Elephas maximus indicus: one gene and its partner. The protein of the gene in region 2 binds, or shares a complex with, the protein of the main gene of each other region. Links are inferred from orthologs where the notes say so. Each region holds a gene or a part of one and is shown on either strand. Other genes may lie near its edges.

Region 1 (9,317 bases), about 140 Mb from region 2:
TTCTGCCTTATGTGTTTGGCACTTTAAGTAGATTCCATCCGATGAGAAGCCGCTGTGTTTCGGGGACACCTTGGGAATCTGCCCAGCCACCAGTCTCCCCCTCCTAGGAACTCCCACACCCCTGTGCCGGAACTTGGGGCCAGACTTGGCCAGGTGCCTTTTCCTGTCTCTTGACCCTTGTCTTTGCTAGGTGTTCACTGCTGCTCGGTTTTCTGCCCTTCTGCTTAAAGTTCAAATAAGGCACATCTTTATCGGAAGTGGTTAGGTTAGAGCTCCACCCCCACTCCTTAACCATCAGTTTTCTTCTGGCCTCACTTCTCTTCTACAGGAATGAATTGTTACATTATTTTCCCTTTTCCAAATTTCTGTACAAAACCAAGACAATTTGACCCATGTTTATTGAGCACTGAGTACCATGAGCTGCAAGAGGTGCTGAAGGGACATTTGTCTTCAAGAAACTTACAATCTTGTTTGGGATATAGACACACACAACATTGTGTCATCTTGGGACAGCTGCATATGCAATGCTGCCCGTGGAGAGAGGAAGAGGAGATTAAGTTTTTACTGACACATGGTATCAGGGAAGACTTCAGGGAAAAAGTGGCATTTGGAATGAGCCTTGAGGAATGAGTAGAATGTTCTCAGGAGGACTGGATTAAGGGCCTTCCAGGTGGAAGAAACAGCATAAGTAAGGGCACAGAGAAGGGCATAGGTGGGTATAGGAGGCCTGAAGGAGGGGCACAGGATCTGATATGGAGAATGAGATTCAGGGGGTAACAGATGGGAAAATAGTTTAAAGTATTACTTCCTGTTCTAGGTGAACTTAATGCCTGGTGTTTTCTGCTTAGGACAACACCCTTTTCAGAAGCAGACTCCAAAATGCTGCATCTCCCCTCGTGGTTCTCATATTCTCAGTAAAGTCCACAAGTCCAGGCACCTTGAACTTGAATTAGGAAAAGCCAATGGCTATATTTTAGGCACATGTGTTAACACTCGAAAGACACATAAACTCTCTGTCAGCAGAGCAAATATTTTTCTTCTCTTCCTCCGTTTTTAAACCCAACACGCTGCCTCCTTTTTTCCAAACTAGAAGTGCAACTCACTCGCCTCCAGCAGGTCGCTCTCTCAAAATATATCAGAGGAAATTCAGTGGTTCTTGAAAATAACTGTAACCAAAAAGCCTACAAGTGCAAAAATTGTCTATTGAGCACAAGCTATGTTAGGTATAACCAGAAAATAAGTCCAGTTGTTTGTAAGTCTGTGTTTCAATAAATAAGTGCCTAGTGGTGTAGTGGTTAAGAGCTACTCTGCTAACCAAAGGGTCAGCAGATCAAATCCACTAGGTGCTCCTTGGGAACTCTATGGGGCAGTTCTACCCTGTCCTATAGGGTTGCTATGAGCCAGGATGGACTTGATGGCAACGAATTTGGTTTGGTTTGGTGGATGTGAGCAAATGCAAACTAAACTTTCTCCTGGGCATTTCTCAGGATCGTGACTGAGGTTAGAACGAAAAGCAGAGCAGGTTGAGAACTGTAGTTTGAGGCCAAAGAAAAAAGGGAGGGAGGGAGGAAGGAAAGAAAAGAGAAAAAAAAACCTGAGCATTCTTCTGACAAAGGGTAAAATGACAAGGAATAAAAAAAGCCTTGTTGCCTTCAAGTCAATTCCAACTCACAGAACAGAGCAGAACTGTCCACATAAGGTTCCCAAGGCTGTAATCTTTATGGAAGCAGACTGCCACATCTTTCTCCCTCAGAGAAGTTGGTGGGTTCGAACCACCAACTGCTGATTTTTCAGTTAGCAGCCATACGCTTAACCACAGCACCACCAGGGCTCCTTTGACAAGGTAAATTGGGCTGGATTCTCTTCCCCTGGAAACGAAAGAAATCACACCAACCCAAGCCATTGGCTTCTGTCCATGGTGCTGACATTTATTCATTTTCAAACCGCTTTCAGTAGCAGGTGGGGTGTATCCTAAAAGTTAATGGCATGGGGGTAGGAGAGGCGGGGGAAGACACAATTAACCCATTTTATCTACAGTTAGCATAAAATATGAGAAACGTTGACCAGAAGCTGCTGCTGGAACAGGTGCTCGTCAACTCGATGGCCATGGGGTAGGACAAGGTTGAGTGAGAGATCCCAGGGGGTGAGGGTCTCGGAGTCTGCCTGGGTCTGGGCCACCTTTTCTTCCCTGGCCATTATCTTCGGTACTACAAAAAGAACACAGACATGTTGGGCTCAGTGACCAGCTCTACAGGAAAAGTCAGCTTTGGATGACAGTGCTACATCTCTGAACTAGACCTCTGACCAGTTACTTCTACCAGCTCCCATGCTCACCCTGATGACTCTCTGAGTTTCAAGAACTGGTAAACAAGTTACTCATTAGCAGCTAGTGAGGGCAGCCCTTGTCAATTTCACTTGATCTTTTGGAATCTTGCAATTCTGGGAAGGAACATGAATGCCAATCAGCAGTACAAAGATGACTTGGGCCTATGAACATTTTAATTTCTCTGTGCTAGTGGCAGTAGGAATGAGCCCTGGTGGTGCCGTGGTTAAGCACTTGGCTGATAACTGAAAGGTCGGCAGTTCGAACTCACCAGCCACTGCGAGGGAAAGCCTGCTTCCATAAAGATTTACAGCCTTGGAAACCCTATAGGACAGTTATACTCTGTCCTATAGGGTTGCTATGAGTCAAAATCCACTTGACAGCAATGGAGAAAAGGGTAGTGGCAGTAGCTGAGGATGATGGCATTTGTCCTGAAGGGCCACCCACCAAGTTAGGGCAGAAATTTCAAAGGGAACAAGCCTTTATGCTGGCTCCTTTCCTGCTGAAAGTGTCCCCTGGTTGTGTTCTTTGACAAGGTTTCAGCTTCAACAAAGCCACAATCTCTTTCCTCCCCACCCCATTTCTACCCCCACTCCTCTTACCCGGAAACTGTTGCAGCCGAGGCCACTCTGGGATCCAATCCTGTCAATCCTGCCCCCGAAGCAGCTGGACCTCCGCAGGCTCCGAGGGGCAGTGAGTAGTGCCCTCAGCTTGTTTTTCAGGAGGGCAGATCTTTCGGAGGAGTCCCAGGGGCCCCTCCCAAGAGCACCCCCATCTCGCTGAGCTGGGCTGACCTCCCTGGTCCAGGGAGGCACCTCAGGCAGGGGGTTGACAGCCACCCCAGCCTCATCATTCTGCTCGTTTAGTACTTGCGGGGGCACGACCTCATCTTCTAAAGGCATCTTGTCCTCCAAATGGTCCAGCAAATTCTTTACAAAAGGAAAATACAGGGAAAGGGAAAGTTCTCATGGGCTCGGAGAAAATCACCAGAAATAGGCACAGTATCAGAAAGCCCCTTGGTCCCAGGCTAAGCCCCCTTTCTTGGCCCTACCTTGAAATCCATCAGGTCTGCATTGGACACGGAGGTGTACACAGGGTTCGCTCTGATTTGACCTGGGAGTTGAAATGCCAGGAAAAGGAGGAAGCACACAGTGATGGTGGAGAAGGAGCCCATGCTGGCGTTGGCCAAGAGCTGGTCTGGTGCTTGCTGCGTCTTCTCCTTCCTCTCTGGGTTCCTTCTCGTGGTCTTCGTCCGTCTCTGCCTACCAGCTGCCCTGAGCCGCCTCCTTTTATAGCCCCCCCAGCTCTCCGAGAGCACAAGAGGGATGGAACCCTCCCCATTCTGTCACTTGCAGCGATAAAGCAGCTGAGTGAGGAGCCAGCAGAAGATGCCCTTTTAAAGTTATCAGCCCAGCAGAGCTTGTCCCAGCCCCTCTGCCTTGAGCAGCCCCAGCAACCCCCCAGACCCTCGGCTACAAGAGCCACATTCTTGCTGATTGGCTTCAAGAGGCTCCCACTTCAAAGGTGTGAGAAGAGCAAAAAAGAGTCCTTGGTTATCTCACAGTGATGCCTCAGGATTCTTTCTCCTCAGCAACAGGACCCATGCAGGGAAGTGAAGGGTGGCGGTTGGCCGGCGCCCAGCTCCCCCAGTTGGTTTGTGGTTCCGCTGGCAGCGGCTCCAAATAAGGGCGGGACAGGAGGAAATGGCAGGCAGCCGGCAGCTCAGGACAAATCAGCCCAGATGCTCAGGCTGGCCTCACACCTGACTCATGAGCAAGCGTGGCAGACCTCCTGCCTCTGTTTGAGACAAGACCGCCCACACTTCTGATAGTCACTCTCAGCAGTCAGGTGAAGAGGGAGCTATTTTTTAGAGTATTAAATCAGCCAGGAACCAAATGTGATGAACGTCTCAAGAATTCAGCTCCCAAATACAAACACCAAGAAAAGCTGGGGGAATCAGTCATTCCTCTTCCAAACTCTGTCTCCTTCCCATCCCCCATGATCCCATCCAAGGTGTCCAGGGAGGTAGGCACTTAGAAGATGCCGGTGTTTTTATTTCTTCACCTCACTGTTTATAGAAGCTCAGACTTGTTGAGTTTGATGCTTGTAATGGCCCCCCACCCTTCCCATGAAAGCTTTGATGGCTGGATACAATGAGGTGGGAGGCAAACCTGATGTACACAGTTTCCGTTAAAACCCACCATGTCCTTCTCCAGGGCCAGCCAAGTGACTGAACCACTTAAGGCCTCAATTTTCCTGAACCCCAAGGACAAATAATAGGCAGCGAGTCTGTCCACATTTAATGAGTGGCCCCCACATTCTAAGTGCTGAACTCGACTTTAGTATACCATTCAATGCAACGCATGTTGCTGTTGTTAGCTGTCATAGAGTTGGCTCCGTCTCATGGCGACCCCATGCACAACAGAAAGAAACATTGCCCATTCCTGCCCCATCTTGATGATCGTTGGTATAGCTGAGTCCATTGTTGTAGCCACTGTATATTTTGGGTGCCTTCCAGTCTAGGGGCTCATCTTCCAGCACTATATTGGACAATATCCTGTTGTCCATGGGGTTTTCATTGGCTCATTTTTGGACATAGATGACCAGGTCTTTCTTCCCACCCTCTTAGTCTGGAAGCTCCACTGAAACCTGTCTGCCATGGATGACTAGGCTGATATTTAAAATACCAGCGACATAGCTTGTAAACAAGCTTAGCATAGCAATATGCAAGTCACCGTTGTACAACACACTGACAGACAGCTGGCAATGCATACTGGAAGAAAAAATACTAAAACTGAAAGGTTGAGAAACCTGCATTGTAGCCCAAAAACAAACCAGTTGCATAAGTTTTTGGGACCCCCATTTCCTCATCTATGAGAAAAATATAAAAAGCTGTCCTGCCCACTTCACAGGGCAGTTGTGAGGCTCAATAGAGCCAGCACTGTGTGAAGTGTGAGATGCTATATAATTGCAAGGGGGTAGTAATGATGGTCTTTTATTGATCAGTTACAATGAGCTGGCACTCTGCTGAGAGCTTGATGTGAATTACTTGATTTTCCTCACCGCTCCCAGGAGGTGGGTAGTATTGTTCCCATTTGCAGAGAGCCAGAACTGAGACTTGGAGAGATTATGTCACTCGCCCAAGGCCATGTCATTTGCCCAATTGGCAGAACCAGGACTTGAGCCCCAGGTTTGATACTTAAGCCCATGATCTTAACCCATTTCACATGGCGGCTCATTAACAAGCCCTTGGGTGCATTTCCTGATTAAATGCCTCCCCCCACACTTGATCTCTCCCATTACCCTGAACATCTCTTGCCTCCTACTGCAGCTGGGCTTGTAGCTTTGTGTGTGGGACAAATCTCTCTGTGTTTGGCTGCTCTCCCCATTTGGATTTTCTTAAAGAAAGGGCTCATCCAGTCCCCATAATCTGTTTACACACCTAATACCAACCAGAATGCTCCTTAGGAGCTAGAATAACAAGACTTCAACTCACTTACTTTGGACATGTCATCAGGAAAGACCAATCACTAGAAAAGGACATCTACTTGATGAAGAACAAGGCCAATGAAAACAAGAGAAACCCTCAATGAGATGGAGTGAGAGAATAATCTCAATAATGGACTCAAACATACCAACGATCATTAAGATGGTGCAGAACCAGGCAATATGTAAGGTCGCCATGAATGGGAGCTGACTCAATGGCAACTAATGACAACATGGAAATTCAGAAAATGTATGTTGAACAACCAGCTCTGTCCTGGCCAAATCCTTCTGCAGCTGCACTTACTCTGTGACCAACCAGGCAGAGAGGCTGTTACACCATGAGAAGACAGGGCATTAGGGCAGTTGGTGGCCAGAGGTCCCCACAGGTGTGCAGAGTGATTTTATTGTAAGACGGAAGGAAAAAGGGATCCTCTTCAGAAAGCTTGGGGGTTTGGGTAACTTATCTGGGTCAGTCAAACTCAACTTGGCATCTGAAATGGGCCACAGTTCTGAGTAGGAGCTCTGGGAACTAAACACCCCCATACCCTGATGCGTCCCCGAAATGTGCTCACAGCATAATTGCTCGGCTGGAAGTTATTATTAGCAGAGAGGATCCAGCCTGCAGCCACGCTGGGGGGAGCTGATGCCGCGTGCGTCACACAGCCTGTCTCCTGGAGATGCCCTTTGAGATAGGCCTTTGATGGAGGAAGACTTCGAGGCCTGCATCAAGGCAGGTGGCCCCTTCTTGATGGCTCGGCCTCTGAGGGCCACGTGGCTGCTCTACCCTGAGTCATTTCTGAAGCCTGTAGGAGACTGTAGGTGGCCCAAGGTGAAGTAGAATCTCATCCAAGATTCCAGAAAGACAATTTCGGAATTTGCTCGCTTCCTTTTATTGCAGTCACTTTTCTGCTCCCAGAGTGAAACTAGAGTGGGACACAAGCATCATTTGTTGAGTTTCTTCTGCTAGTCAAATTTGTGTTTGTGTGTGTGTAAGTTTTATTATTATTATTTTTTTCTAAGACAAAGGACATTCAGGCTTCCTGCCCTGAGGGCTTTCATAGAGCCAGGACTACCACCTCCCAGGGCCCAGCGAAAACAGAAAATCCTCAAAAGCACTGATATCCCCATTAAAGCTTTTGATTTCAGCCTGAAATGGAAAATGGCTTGACATAACATTTCTCTTCACTTCCATGCCCTGCTCAACTTCGGGGTGTGTGTGGAGAGGTGGAGGAAGGGGTGTTTGGAAGCCAGTCTGTAGGAGTGAGAGAGAGAAAAAAGCAAAAGACGCAAAAAATCAGATCCACCCTCCACCCCTACCTCTCTAGCTGAAAAATCGCAAGTGTTTATTTCTTTATCACAGGCAAGAAGTTGTCTTAGTCAAATGAGAGAATGAGCAGTGCGGATGGGTAGGAGAACCCAGAGTCTGGGCGTCTCCAGTTGCTAGACCAGAGCTTGGTCTCACAACCTTCCATGGGAATGTGGGGGCTGCTGCAGGGAGCACACGTGGGCAGAACTAGCAGGAAAAACCCATCTCAGTCATAACATGATTCTGTCAGACCCAGATAGTCTAAAGCAGAAGCCCCAGTTGGGAGAAACTGTTAGGACGCCGTTGCATACTTAGGGACGGTTGTTTCTGAGTTTGAAGGTGCTGTTCTTTTTCTTGCATACAATATGGACTCACTGGGGACTGGAAGCCCAGGGCAGGTCCCAAAGTAGAACAAGGAAATAGAGAAAGCTACTTCCTCAGCTGGATAGTGACTACCATGAGAGCAGTGATTCAGCCTGGTTCACTGCCCACCTTCCCTAGGAAACAAAGCCCAAGGCAAAAGCTCACTTACTGCAGCTTTATAGGGGTTCCAATTCAAGGTAAGAAGGCATTGGTAGTTCAGTGGTAGAATTCTTACCTGCCATGTTGGAGGTTTGATTCTCAGCCAATGCACCTCATGTGCAGCCACCACCTGTCTCTCAGTGGAGGCTTGCATGTTGCTATGGTGCTGAATAGGTTTCAACAGAGCTTCCAGACTAAGATAGACTAGGAAGACAGGCTTGGCAATCTACCTCTGAAAATCAGCCAGTGAAAACCCTGTGGATCACAATGGTCCAATCCACAACTGATCATGGGGATGGTGCAGGACTGGGATTGTTTCATTTAGTTGTGAATAGAATAGAACAAAAGTCATGGGATGTCACTTCTGACTTTAGGTGACGATGAGACTATGGCTTCCATCATTGCCCCATCTCCCTGTCTGTCCGTCTCTCTTTTGTGCACATGCTTTCTCACTCCATCTAAGAGGTCAGTTGCCACATTGTGAGCTGCCTTATGTGGCAAGGAACTGAGGTCTTCAACCAACAGTCAGCAAGGATCCAAGGTCTGGTCCTCAGGTTCCATCTCTCCTTGCCAGTTGGAGCTGCTCCTGGGAACATATGGTGGTAGTACCAAGGGAGGAGGGTAGTGGCAGCCACCAGGGCTTCGAAGTCACGGGAACCATACCAGCTGTTGTTAAAGCTGTATTTCCTGGGAGTCAGAGGTATAGGCGGGCCAAGCAGATATGAGGTTGAGCATGAATCAACTTCAGGACACTACGGCACCCAGCATCTAGCACAGACTCCAGAACATGTTTTCAGAACATGTTTTGTGAATAACTGAACCAACAAGTTTGCCTTCAGTGCCTCCCCTCCCCTCCTTCAACCAGGTACAGACCCACTACTGCACCTTGCCCTCCCTCGGTCCCCAGCAGAAGTGGAAATCACTCTCTGGCTGAAGCATGAATATTCTGATCTCTCCACTGATGCAGGAAGAAAAGGATTAGGGGAGTCTGGATAGAAAGGTCAGCTAGGAAGTAGGAAGTGGTGTACCCATATCAGCATAAGTGATGAGGGGCTGAACCAGGAAGAGAAGGGAAGGAGATGCTATGAAGGAAGGTAAGAGTGGAGGTGGTGCCTGCTTGGGAAGGTCCACCGAGAGAATGAAGTCAAGAAAGATTCCAAGTTGATTGCCATCGAGTTGGTTCCAAATCACCGGGACCTATGTGCAACAGAACAAAATACTGCCATCCTCACAATTGTTGCTATATTTGGGCCCATTGTTGCAGCTATTGTGTCAGTCTCTCTTGTCCACCTTTCCTGATTTTGAACCGTGAAATATCCTCTTGTTCCGTTCAAACAACTCCTTCTTGATCTATGTATACTTTCCTCATGAGCACAATCAAGTGTTCTGGAAAGAACACTTAAAGTCAGCAAAGTTGTGTGTCAGGGTTGTACCCTTTCACCATACTTAATTCGATCTGTATGCTGAACAAATAACCCGAGAAGCTGGACTATATGAAGAAGAACGGGGCATCAGGATTGGAGGCACATTCATTAACAATCTGGAATATGCGGATGACACAGCCTTGCTTGCTGAAAGTGAAGAGAACTTGAAGCACTTACTGATGAGGATCAAAGACCACAGCCTTCAGTATGGATTACACCTCAACATAAAGAAAACAAAAGTCCTCACAAGTGGAAC
Region 2 (9,073 bases):
TAAAAGGGACAGCTGTTTCAGCAGCAGGAATGACTGAGGTTGGGCACTTAGGGGGATTTCTTTCTATTTTTTTAATTGTGCTTTATATGAAGGTTTACAGAGCAAATTAGTTTTTCATTAAACAATTAATACACATATTGTTTTGTGACATTGGTTGCCAACCCCACAATGTGTCAACACTCTCCCCTTCTCAACCTTGGGTCCCCCATTATCAGCTTTCCTGTCCCCTCCTGCCTGTCTAATCTTTGGCTGAAGGGTGAACCTCAGGCGTGACTTCATTACTGAGCTAAAAGGGTATCTGGGGCCATACTCTTGGGGTTTCTCTAGTCTCTGTCAGACCAGTAAGTCTGGTCTTTTTTTTGGTGAGTTAGAATTTTGTTCTACATTTTTCTCCAGCTCTGTCCGGGACCCTCTATTGTAATCCCTGTCAGAGCAGTCAGTGGTAGTAATTGGGCACCATCTAGTTGTGCTGGACTCAGTCTCGTGGAGTCTGTGATAGTTGTGGTCCGTTAGTCCTTTGGACTAATCTTTCCCTTGTGTCTTGGGTTTTCTTCACTCTCCCTTGTTCCAGATGGGGTGAGACCAGTGGAATATCTTAGATGGCCGCTCAAGCTTTTAAGACCCCCGACTCTACTTGCCAGAGTAGGATGTAGAACATTTTCTTTATAAACCGTGTTCTGCCAATTGAGCTAGACATTCCCCAAGATCACAGTCCTCACAGCCCTCAGCCCAGCAGTTCAGTCCCTCAGGGAGTTTGGGTGTGTCTACGGAGCTTCCATGACATTGCCTTGGACAAGTTGTGCTGGCTTCCCCAGTATTGTGTACTGTCTTACCCTTTACCAAAGTTACCACTTATCTACTGTCTTTTTGGGGAGATTTCTCACTGGGCCTAGTGCAGACAAGGGAAGGAGGGCATGAAGGAAGCTGTGGAAGTTCTTCATATTATAGGTGAGGGAAAAAGACCGGCGTTCGTGAGTGACTACGCACTGCTTTCTCCAGGGGCCCATCTCTAGCCACCTGCACCTCTCACCTTGGAAGCTTTGGTTCCACATTCTCTGAACAATGCCCTCCCCATCAGTGACAGTCCCGCCATATGCCAGAGTCTCTGTCACTGCCTGGACATAGAGGAGGAGCCCATCATGGAAGGATGCTGGGATGATGTTCACCTGTAAGGCAAACAGAGCTTGACTGGGGTCAAGTGTATGGTGGGCACAGGGCTGGAGCTGGGCACTGAGGCAGAGGGAACTGGGGGAACCAAGAATTTGGAAGAGGATGGGATAAAATAACACCCTCACGTGAAAGAGAGAGTTACTACTTGTAAGACGGCTTCACTTCTGAGGAGGGTCCCCATTTTACTGATGAAGACCAGAGTTTCATAGAGGTTGAACAGCTTGCCAGTATCCCCCTCCATCATCAGGAGAGACACAGAAACAATGGGAAGGGAGAGAAGGGAGACCTGGGACCAGTGAGATGGCAGAGAAGACAGGATGGAGACCGGCAGATGGGGCTGGGGGTTCATGCCAGGAGGGTCCCAGGACAGGGGACCCCTCCTACCAGGCCATCTTCCATGGTAAAGTTGAACTGCTCACGGGCCAAGTGTTTTAGCTGCTTCAGGAATTCCAGGTACTCAGGATTATCCGGCTGTTTGTATGTAATGATCTTGGCAGCCTGAGGAAATGGACAGTGGAGAGGGCAGAGCTGGGAGAAGATTCCAGACCTCCTAGGATCCTGGGGTCCCAGCTACCTGGGAACCTACCTCGCAGAGTTGTATGTCTGCTCAGCTCAAGGTAAAACTGGCCCCTAAGTTTTGCATGAGGTGGTGTGTGCCTCAAAGCCAGAGGTCCAGTGGAATGGAACAGCTTCTCCAAGTGCTGTCCAGTCTGTGGGACTTTGACGTCCTCCCACCTCAAGTCCATTCTCCTATCTTTTTCACCTCCAGGTGCTCAACCCCACCCCCACTCCAGTTCTCTGTACCCTTCTCCCCCCAGCCCCCTTGCCCTTCACCATGTAGCTCCCTGTGAACATTAAGAACGTCTTTCTTGGAATCCTTTCAGACCCTGAGGGGACCCAGTGCCCAGAGGCGACATGCCACGAGGGCAGAGTCCCACAGCCTGGGCTTCCAACCTGGGCACTCACCTGAAAGGCCTGATGGGCACTGACATCCTGACCATCCCCTCTCTCCCAGGGCCTTTGGGGAGCAGGGCCGTGTGCACCTTGCAGGCTTTGCCCAAAAAGATCCAGATGGAAGAAAACATAGTCCTCCCCACTCAGGCCAGCTTCCAGGGCTAGGAGCATCAGGGTTCTGAAGGCATCTGGGGAGCTGCAGATGTAGATAACTGGGGGAGAAGGGGGAGTCAGGGAGAGAGAGGCCTAGGCCCTGGGGGAGTGGGACAGGGAAGACACCAGGGAGGAAAACTGGGACACCCAGAGAAGGAAGCTCAGAGATGAGGACATGAGAGACCCTGGGGACTGACTCCCTGTGGGCGTTAAGTGGCAACTCCTGGCTCAGTCCAGGCTGTGGCAGGAGAAAAATGAAGGGTGGAGAGAAGAGGCAGACAGGGTGGAAGGGTGGAAAGATCAGAGCATAAGGGAGAGGCGAGAGTGGAGAAGCTGAAGATGGGGAAGGTGGGGCCAGGAGAGGTGGGAGAGGGAGAGGAGGAGCCAGCTGGAGAAGGGACTAGGAGAGGAGCCCTAGTGGGGGAGCAATGGCAGGAGGGGATGGAGGAAGGGAGAATGCTGTAAGAGACAGAAAATGGGGGAGAAAAAAAGGAATGGGAACTAAGCCAGGTGTCTACTAAGTGCCAGGGTGACGCAGATCATTTTCTCGCTCGGTTTACTCAGCTACCAACATTAAGATTGGCAGTTTGAACCCACCGACCTGTGCCATGACAAAAGGCCTGGCGATCTGCTTCCGTAAAAGATTATAGCCTAGAAAACCCTATGGAGCTCAGTTCTGCTTTGTAACACATGGGGTCACTATGAGTCGGAATTGACTGACAGCAATGGGTTAACGCCAAAGGAACCCGGTGGGATAGAGGTGGGAGAGGTGGAGGTGACTGGGAGGTGAGAAGAGAGAAGGGTCCAGGGAGCCTGGGACGAGAGCGAAGAGCCATTGGGACAAGAAAGAAGACTGGCCCAGAGGAGCGAAAGGAATCCCTAAGCCTACATCGAGTTAAAAAAGATGGCCCCGGGGCAAAGCGGCGGGGCTGGGTGTGCCCGCCACTCACCTCTGCTCTTTCTCCGCACGGTCTGCAGCAGCGGGGCGTAGCGGTCGCGGTCATTCTCGGCGAACTCCAGGTGGTCCACCGTGATGTTGAGGTGGTCGCGGACCCGCATGTACAGCCCCTCCACGACAAAGAAGCAGGGTTGGTCGTCGCCCGGCCGGTAGGCGTAGAGCACGAGCGCCTGGCGTTCCCAGCCCAGCCGTCGGTGCAGCGCCGCCACAAAGTCACCCAGCTTGGCGTGGCTGGGCCCCGAACGGGTAGTCAGTGCGTACTCGTCCTTGTTCCCGAAGCCCAGAGCCGCGGCGCCGGCGGTCAGCAGCGGCACCCGCCAGTGCGCGGTGAAGCGCCCCACAGGGGCGGCCGCGTACACGCAGCCCGGGCCCAGGAACACCGCGGGGTTGTGCTCCCACTTGAGGTCCACGGCGGCCAGGGGTGCGGCCGTGTCCGAGCAGGCGCCCAGCGCGTTCTCGCTGCTGCCCAGCACCGTGCGGACCGTCCAGCCGGGCAGCAAGTCGGGCCGCGCCTTCACCCGGGTTAGGGCCAGCTCCACGGCCGGCCCCACGCGCGCCCACGACCACGGGTACGAGGTGTTGGCCAGCGGCAGCACCACAGCCACCGTCAGGTTGCCGGCGTGGGTGCCCCGGAGCAGCAGCAGTGGCGGCAGGAGCAGGAGCAGGGGCAGACGGGCGCCCACGGGGAGCCCGGGGCCGGGCATGGCCTCAGCGGGCACCAAGGCGGGCGAGCGCTCCCACCATGGCCTCTTTGGTCCGCTGTGGCTCAGCGGCTAGTCCCGGCACCCGGCGCGCCCCTGCAGGAGGGAGGAGGAGCGGGGCGGGGGCCCTCACCCCGGGCACGCTGCCGCCTCCGGCTGCGACAGTCAGGGCCAGGAGCGCGAGGGCGCGCGACGGGCGGGCGTGCCCCGTGGCGCGCGGAGGGCGCAGCAGAGCAGGTGGGCGCGGGAACCAGAGCGCCCGAGCCGGGAGGATCTGAGTGTGAGCGTGAGCGTGTGCGTGTGCGTGTGTGTGTGTGAGAGAGAGAGAGAGGGTAGGAACGAACTAGAGAACGAGCGCTCTGGGGAGGCTAGGAGAGGGCGCGAGGGAGGGAAGGAGCAGGAGTGTGTTCGTATGCGTGCGTGATGCCTGCCCCAGGGAGTGTGCCAGAAGGGGTGTCCGGCCGGCTCAAGTCTCCTGCTGTCCGGTGGGGACTGAGGAGGACCCGAGCCAAGCTCCGAACCCTCCCCTCCAGGCCGCTTCCCCTCCCAGGCTTGGTGACAGAAGAGCCAATCCTGGATCTTTAACTCCTTCCTCCCGGTCGCGAAGTCTCCGGCTCCCTTCACCCTCCCACAGCCCGCGGCTTTTGTCTTAGACCCATTTTCCTCTTCTCGGCAGGACAACCTTTTCCTCCTCAGAAAGGGGCGCCCGCAGAAGGGGCTCCCTCGCGAGGATGGGAAGGAGCGCTGAATTGAGATGTGTGTGGGAGCAGCCGAGGGCCCTGCACCCACCTTGTTTTACCCCTCCCACCTGGTTCCATCTGGGGAAGAGGGAAAGATATGCTAGTTTGGGAACCTGGCAGAAAAAGGTGTGAGTGTGTGGCTGTGTGTGGCTGGGGGTGGGGCGAGAGGGCGACGGGTTTCTAGAAAAGGCGTTAAAGTAGAAAGCGAGCCCAGAGTCCCGGTTACCCAGTCCATCTATGGTTCCCCGCCCCTTTCCTCCCCACAGCTTTCTAGATTGAGTGGATTAGCCGAGAAAATGTACCAAGTGGGAGGACAGAGTTAACTCTTTAGTTCCCAAAAGGTTGAAAGAAGTTGGTTTTTCGGGTGGGTGGGTGGGTGGGAAGGTGTGACCTCAGGGCCGCTTCCGGAAAGTGGATGTGTTTGCTCTGTGTTGTAGAAGATTGCTAAAATGCGATCTGCGGCGGTGGGAGAAGGCGTTAGAAATGACCTGTGGAGGTGTCAATTGGGAAGAACAATTTGGGGCATTGGACGGTTGGGCAGCTGGTCCAGACCTCCGTGGAGTCAGTCTGCCCTCTAATGGTCAGTGGAAGTCATTGACGGTATTGCGTCGCTAACCCCCCAATCCTGCGCGTAGGCAGGACAGATCAAACTTCATCGATTCAGCGCACATTGCCAAAGGACCGACTATGGTTCAAGCGCCCGGCTTGATGCGTGTATATAGTCCGTGCCTTTGAGGAGCTCTGTTTGGGACAAATAGCGCAATACAATATGGTTAAGCACTACAACAGAGAGATGGATAAATTGCTAAGATGCCCACATTTAAAGCATAAAAACCCAAACCCGTTGCCGTCGATTCGATTCGGACTCACAGTGACCCTGTAGGACAGATTGGAACAGCTCCACAGTTTCCAAGGAGCAGCTGGTGGATCCGAACTGCCGACCTTTTGGTTAGCAGCCAAAGGCTTACCTATTGCACCACAGAGTGCTCAGATAAGAGCTATGAATTCTGCCTGGATTGGGGATCAGGAAAATTTACAAATAATTCGACAAGAATTGAAGGTTAAGAAAGCTATTCTGTGCAGAGAGAACAGAATACTGAAGTATCGTTCCTATATACGGAATTCTAGGAGAATTTTGAATATTGTTATGGTCTAGAGCGGAGGTTGCAAATGGCGCTCACGGGCCAAATTCAGATGGCAGGCATGTTTTGTTTGGCCTTCACTCTCTACCTATATTTTATTTCATTTCCCGCATTAAAAAATTAGCAGACGACACGTAAACATCTCAATTTCTGGCTTTTCTTGAAATATCGGAGGAGCAGGCAATATCGGTCCTGCAGCCCCCATAATCAATCAACTGGAACAAATTACTCCTCAGCTCCTTTGGATGAGCCTAGTTCATCCAAGTTCCTACCCTGCTTCACTCATTCACATCACCTGCCTAGTCATGGTAGGAGTTGTTTTCAGACTGACCTAGCACGTAAGGTGTTTGCACACGGGAATGACTGAGGAGGAGAAGCTGCTGCTAAGGGCAGACCCTGAAAGCTTTTGTGTGACTGTGTTAGTTATCTAGTGCTGCTATAACAGAAATACCACAAGTGAATGTCTTTAACAAAGAGAATTTATTCTCTTACAGTCCGCTAGGCTAGAAGTCCGAATTCAGGGCGCAGCTCCAGGGGAAGATTCTCTCTGTTGGCTCTGAAGGAAGGTCCTTGTGATGCATCAATCTTCCCTTGGTCTGGGAGCACCCCAGTGCAGAAACGGCAGGTCCAAAGGACGCACTCTGCTCCTGGCGCTGCTTTCTTGGTGGTATGAGGTTCCCCTGTCTCTCTGCTTGCTTCTCTCTTTTATATTTCAAAGACATTGGCTTAAACACTATCTAATCTTGTATATCTCATCAATATAACTGCCACTAATCCATCTCATTCCATCATAGTGATAGGACTTGCAACACATAGGGAAATCACATAAAATGGTGGACAATCACACAATACTGGGACTCATGGCCCAGCCAGGCTGACAGACATTTTTGGGGGACACAACTCAATCCATGACAGTGATAGACTAAGGATTGCTTAATGTCTGTATCCTGTAAGGGGGGCTCCAGAGGCAGTGGAGGTAGATAGGAGATGTTTCAAAAGTAGAATCAATTAGATTTTTGGGAAGGGAAGACAGTTTACAAATAACTGAGGCTGGGTGGGGATGAAAACAATTTTAGTCTGTTGAGTTTGAGAAGACTGTGGATACCCAAATGGAGGTGTCTCATTAGCTACTAGGTTAGTGGAGCTGGAGTCAGAAGAAATGACTGGACTAGATATACAGTTTAGCCCTGAGTTGTTATGCAAATGATGCACGTATTATGTTTTTGCCAACGGAGCAACCCCCTTGCACGTTATTTTCCTAGGCAGTATGTGCGTTATATGTGTGGATACGTTATTTAGGTGTGCAGGTTATTTGCGAAAAATATGGTTATTGAGCTCCTCTTTCAATATCGCTGGACTAAATAACTGAGCTGGAGACAACTACAAGTGCTGAAAGAAATATTTTTTCAAAAATCAAAGAACTAATAAGATAGTGAGGAATTGTTGGTCTGAGAGATGAAAGGACAAGAAAACAAAGAGCTGAGCCCAGCTGTAGGGCTGTTTTTGCCCTGGGTTCATTTGCTGATCCAGAACTGGTGGCAGAAAATAGGCTGGCGGGCTGTTGTTTTTCTTAGCTGCTTTTCAGTGGATTTGACTCATGGCGATCCCATCTACAATGGAATAGGAGGTTGCCCGGTCCTACACCATCTTCACGATCCTTGGCATTCTGGAGTCCATTGTTGCAGTCACTGTGTATTCTGAGTGCCTTCCAACCTAGGGGGCTCATCTTCCAGCACTATATTGGAAACTATTCTGTTGTGATCCAGGAGATTTTTACCGGCTAATTTTCAGAAGTAGATTGCTAGGCCTTCCTTTCCAGTCTGTCTTGGCCTGGAAGCTCCACTGAAACCTGACCACCATGGGTGACCCTGCTGGTATTTGAAATACTCGTGACATAGCTTCCAGCATCACAGCAACATGCAAGTCACCACAATATGACAAAGTGACAGACAGGTGGTAAGGCTAGTGAGACAAAAATTGGAATGCAAATATCCCCAAAGGTGAGGACTCTGGTAAACTACCTTCCTGTTTTAGGTTAGGACCGACCCCGAAAGGCTGGACTCCTAGGGGAAATTTAGGAGAAGAGTTAACCTGAAGTAAATAGATTACTTTTGTGGGAATGGGACAGTGCTGTATTTCCAATAGTATGGTTCTTTGATTTGACATTAAAAGCTATATAATGATTCTTATTTCATGAAAGATGAGCTTTTATTAAAAAAAAAAAGTAAGTAGAAAATCCAGAACCAAAATATTCAAAAGCCAAAATTAAGGATCAATCGATACATTTAACAGCAGGTTAGACTTGATTGAGGATCAATTAGTGAATTGGAAGAAAGGACAGAAGAAACTACCCAGAATAAAGCATGGAAAACAAACGAACAAACAAAAAAGAAAAGGAAAACATGAAAGAGACATAGAGGATACTGTGAGAAAGGCCAACACACCTTTACTTGGAATTTCAGGAAGGAGAGAAATAATAGAGTAGAAGCAATATTTGGAGAGAGGTGGCTGAGAAGTTTAAAAATGCATGAAAGGCGTCAAGCCATGGATTCTTGAAGCTCAACAAACCTCAAACAAGGTTAAGAAAAAGAAAATCCATACCTGGACCCAGCAGAATAAAACTGTAGAAAACTAAATCAAAGAAAAAATATTTAAAAAAGAAAAAAAAAAGGATAGATTACTTTCAAAGGAGCAGCAATTAGACTGACAAGTGTTTTTTCTACAGCAAAAAATGGAAGCCATAAGACAGTAGAATAATATTGTAAAGGTGCTGCAAGAAAATAACTTTCAAGCTTGAATTCCATACCCAGAGAAAATATCCTTCAGTAACAACGGTGAAATAAAAATATATTCAGACAAACCAAAACCAAGAGAGTCAGCCACCAGTAGGGAAGCACTGAATTCTAAAGGGTATTCTTCAGGCGGAAGGAGTATTACCCCAGATGGAAGGTTGGAGATGCAGGAAGGTATAAAGAGCATTAAAATGGCACACATATGGGCTCCTCTAAATGACCATTAATTTAATAAATAAGTATTAAAGTCTTCTGAGACTTAAAATATAGAATTTAAATACTGTACATATACACACCTACACCTACCCGAGATTAATGAATGTATAGGACCCCAAGAAATCTTTTACAAAAATGTTCATAGCAGCTTTACATATATGACCTCAAATGGAAACAACCCAAAAGTGTTTGCATGTCTCAGCCTGTTTTCGGTCCTGACATCATCAACAGGAGAATGGATAAACAA

What was found.
Region 1: the proteins of NPR1 (region 2) and NPPA are in contact, whole or in part, in a crystal structure (PDB 7BRG), measured with the Rattus norvegicus proteins. The link is inferred for Elephas maximus indicus from reciprocal best matches to the Homo sapiens genes NPR1 and NPPA. Residues at the interface, in NP_036745.1 of Rattus norvegicus: Asp90, Val115, Tyr116, Ala119, Pro120, Arg123, Ala139, Leu140, Gly141, Ile142, Val144, Tyr148, Tyr182, Asp184, Leu186, Gly187, Asp188, Asp189, Arg190, Phe193, Phe194, Val196, Glu197, Tyr200, Met201, Arg204, His213, Gln214, Glu215, Phe216; in NP_036744.1 of Rattus norvegicus: Arg126, Ser127, Ser128, Cys129, Phe130, Gly131, Gly132, Arg133, Ile134, Asp135, Arg136, Ile137, Gly138, Ala139, Gln140, Ser141, Gly142, Leu143, Gly144, Cys145, Asn146, Ser147, Phe148, Arg149, Tyr150.

Annotation. Positions count from the first base shown.
Region 1 is NC_064821.1:51,711,877-51,721,193, forward strand, and holds NPPA (natriuretic peptides A), read right to left. Parts: upstream 3,720-9,317; 5' UTR 3,498-3,719; coding exon 3,375-3,497; intron 3,253-3,374; coding exon 2,926-3,252; intron 2,208-2,925; coding exon 2,196-2,207; 3' UTR 1,913-2,195; downstream 1-1,912.
Region 2 is NC_064821.1:191,508,994-191,518,066, reverse strand, and holds the start of NPR1 (atrial natriuretic peptide receptor 1), read right to left. Parts: upstream 4,512-9,073; 5' UTR 3,940-4,511; coding exon 3,228-3,939; intron 2,337-3,227; coding exon 2,137-2,336; intron 1,669-2,136; coding exon 1,555-1,668; intron 1,167-1,554; coding exon 1,031-1,166; intron 1-1,030. UniProt on the Homo sapiens protein: Receptor for the atrial natriuretic peptide NPPA/ANP and the brain natriuretic peptide NPPB/BNP which are potent vasoactive hormones playing a key role in cardiovascular homeostasis.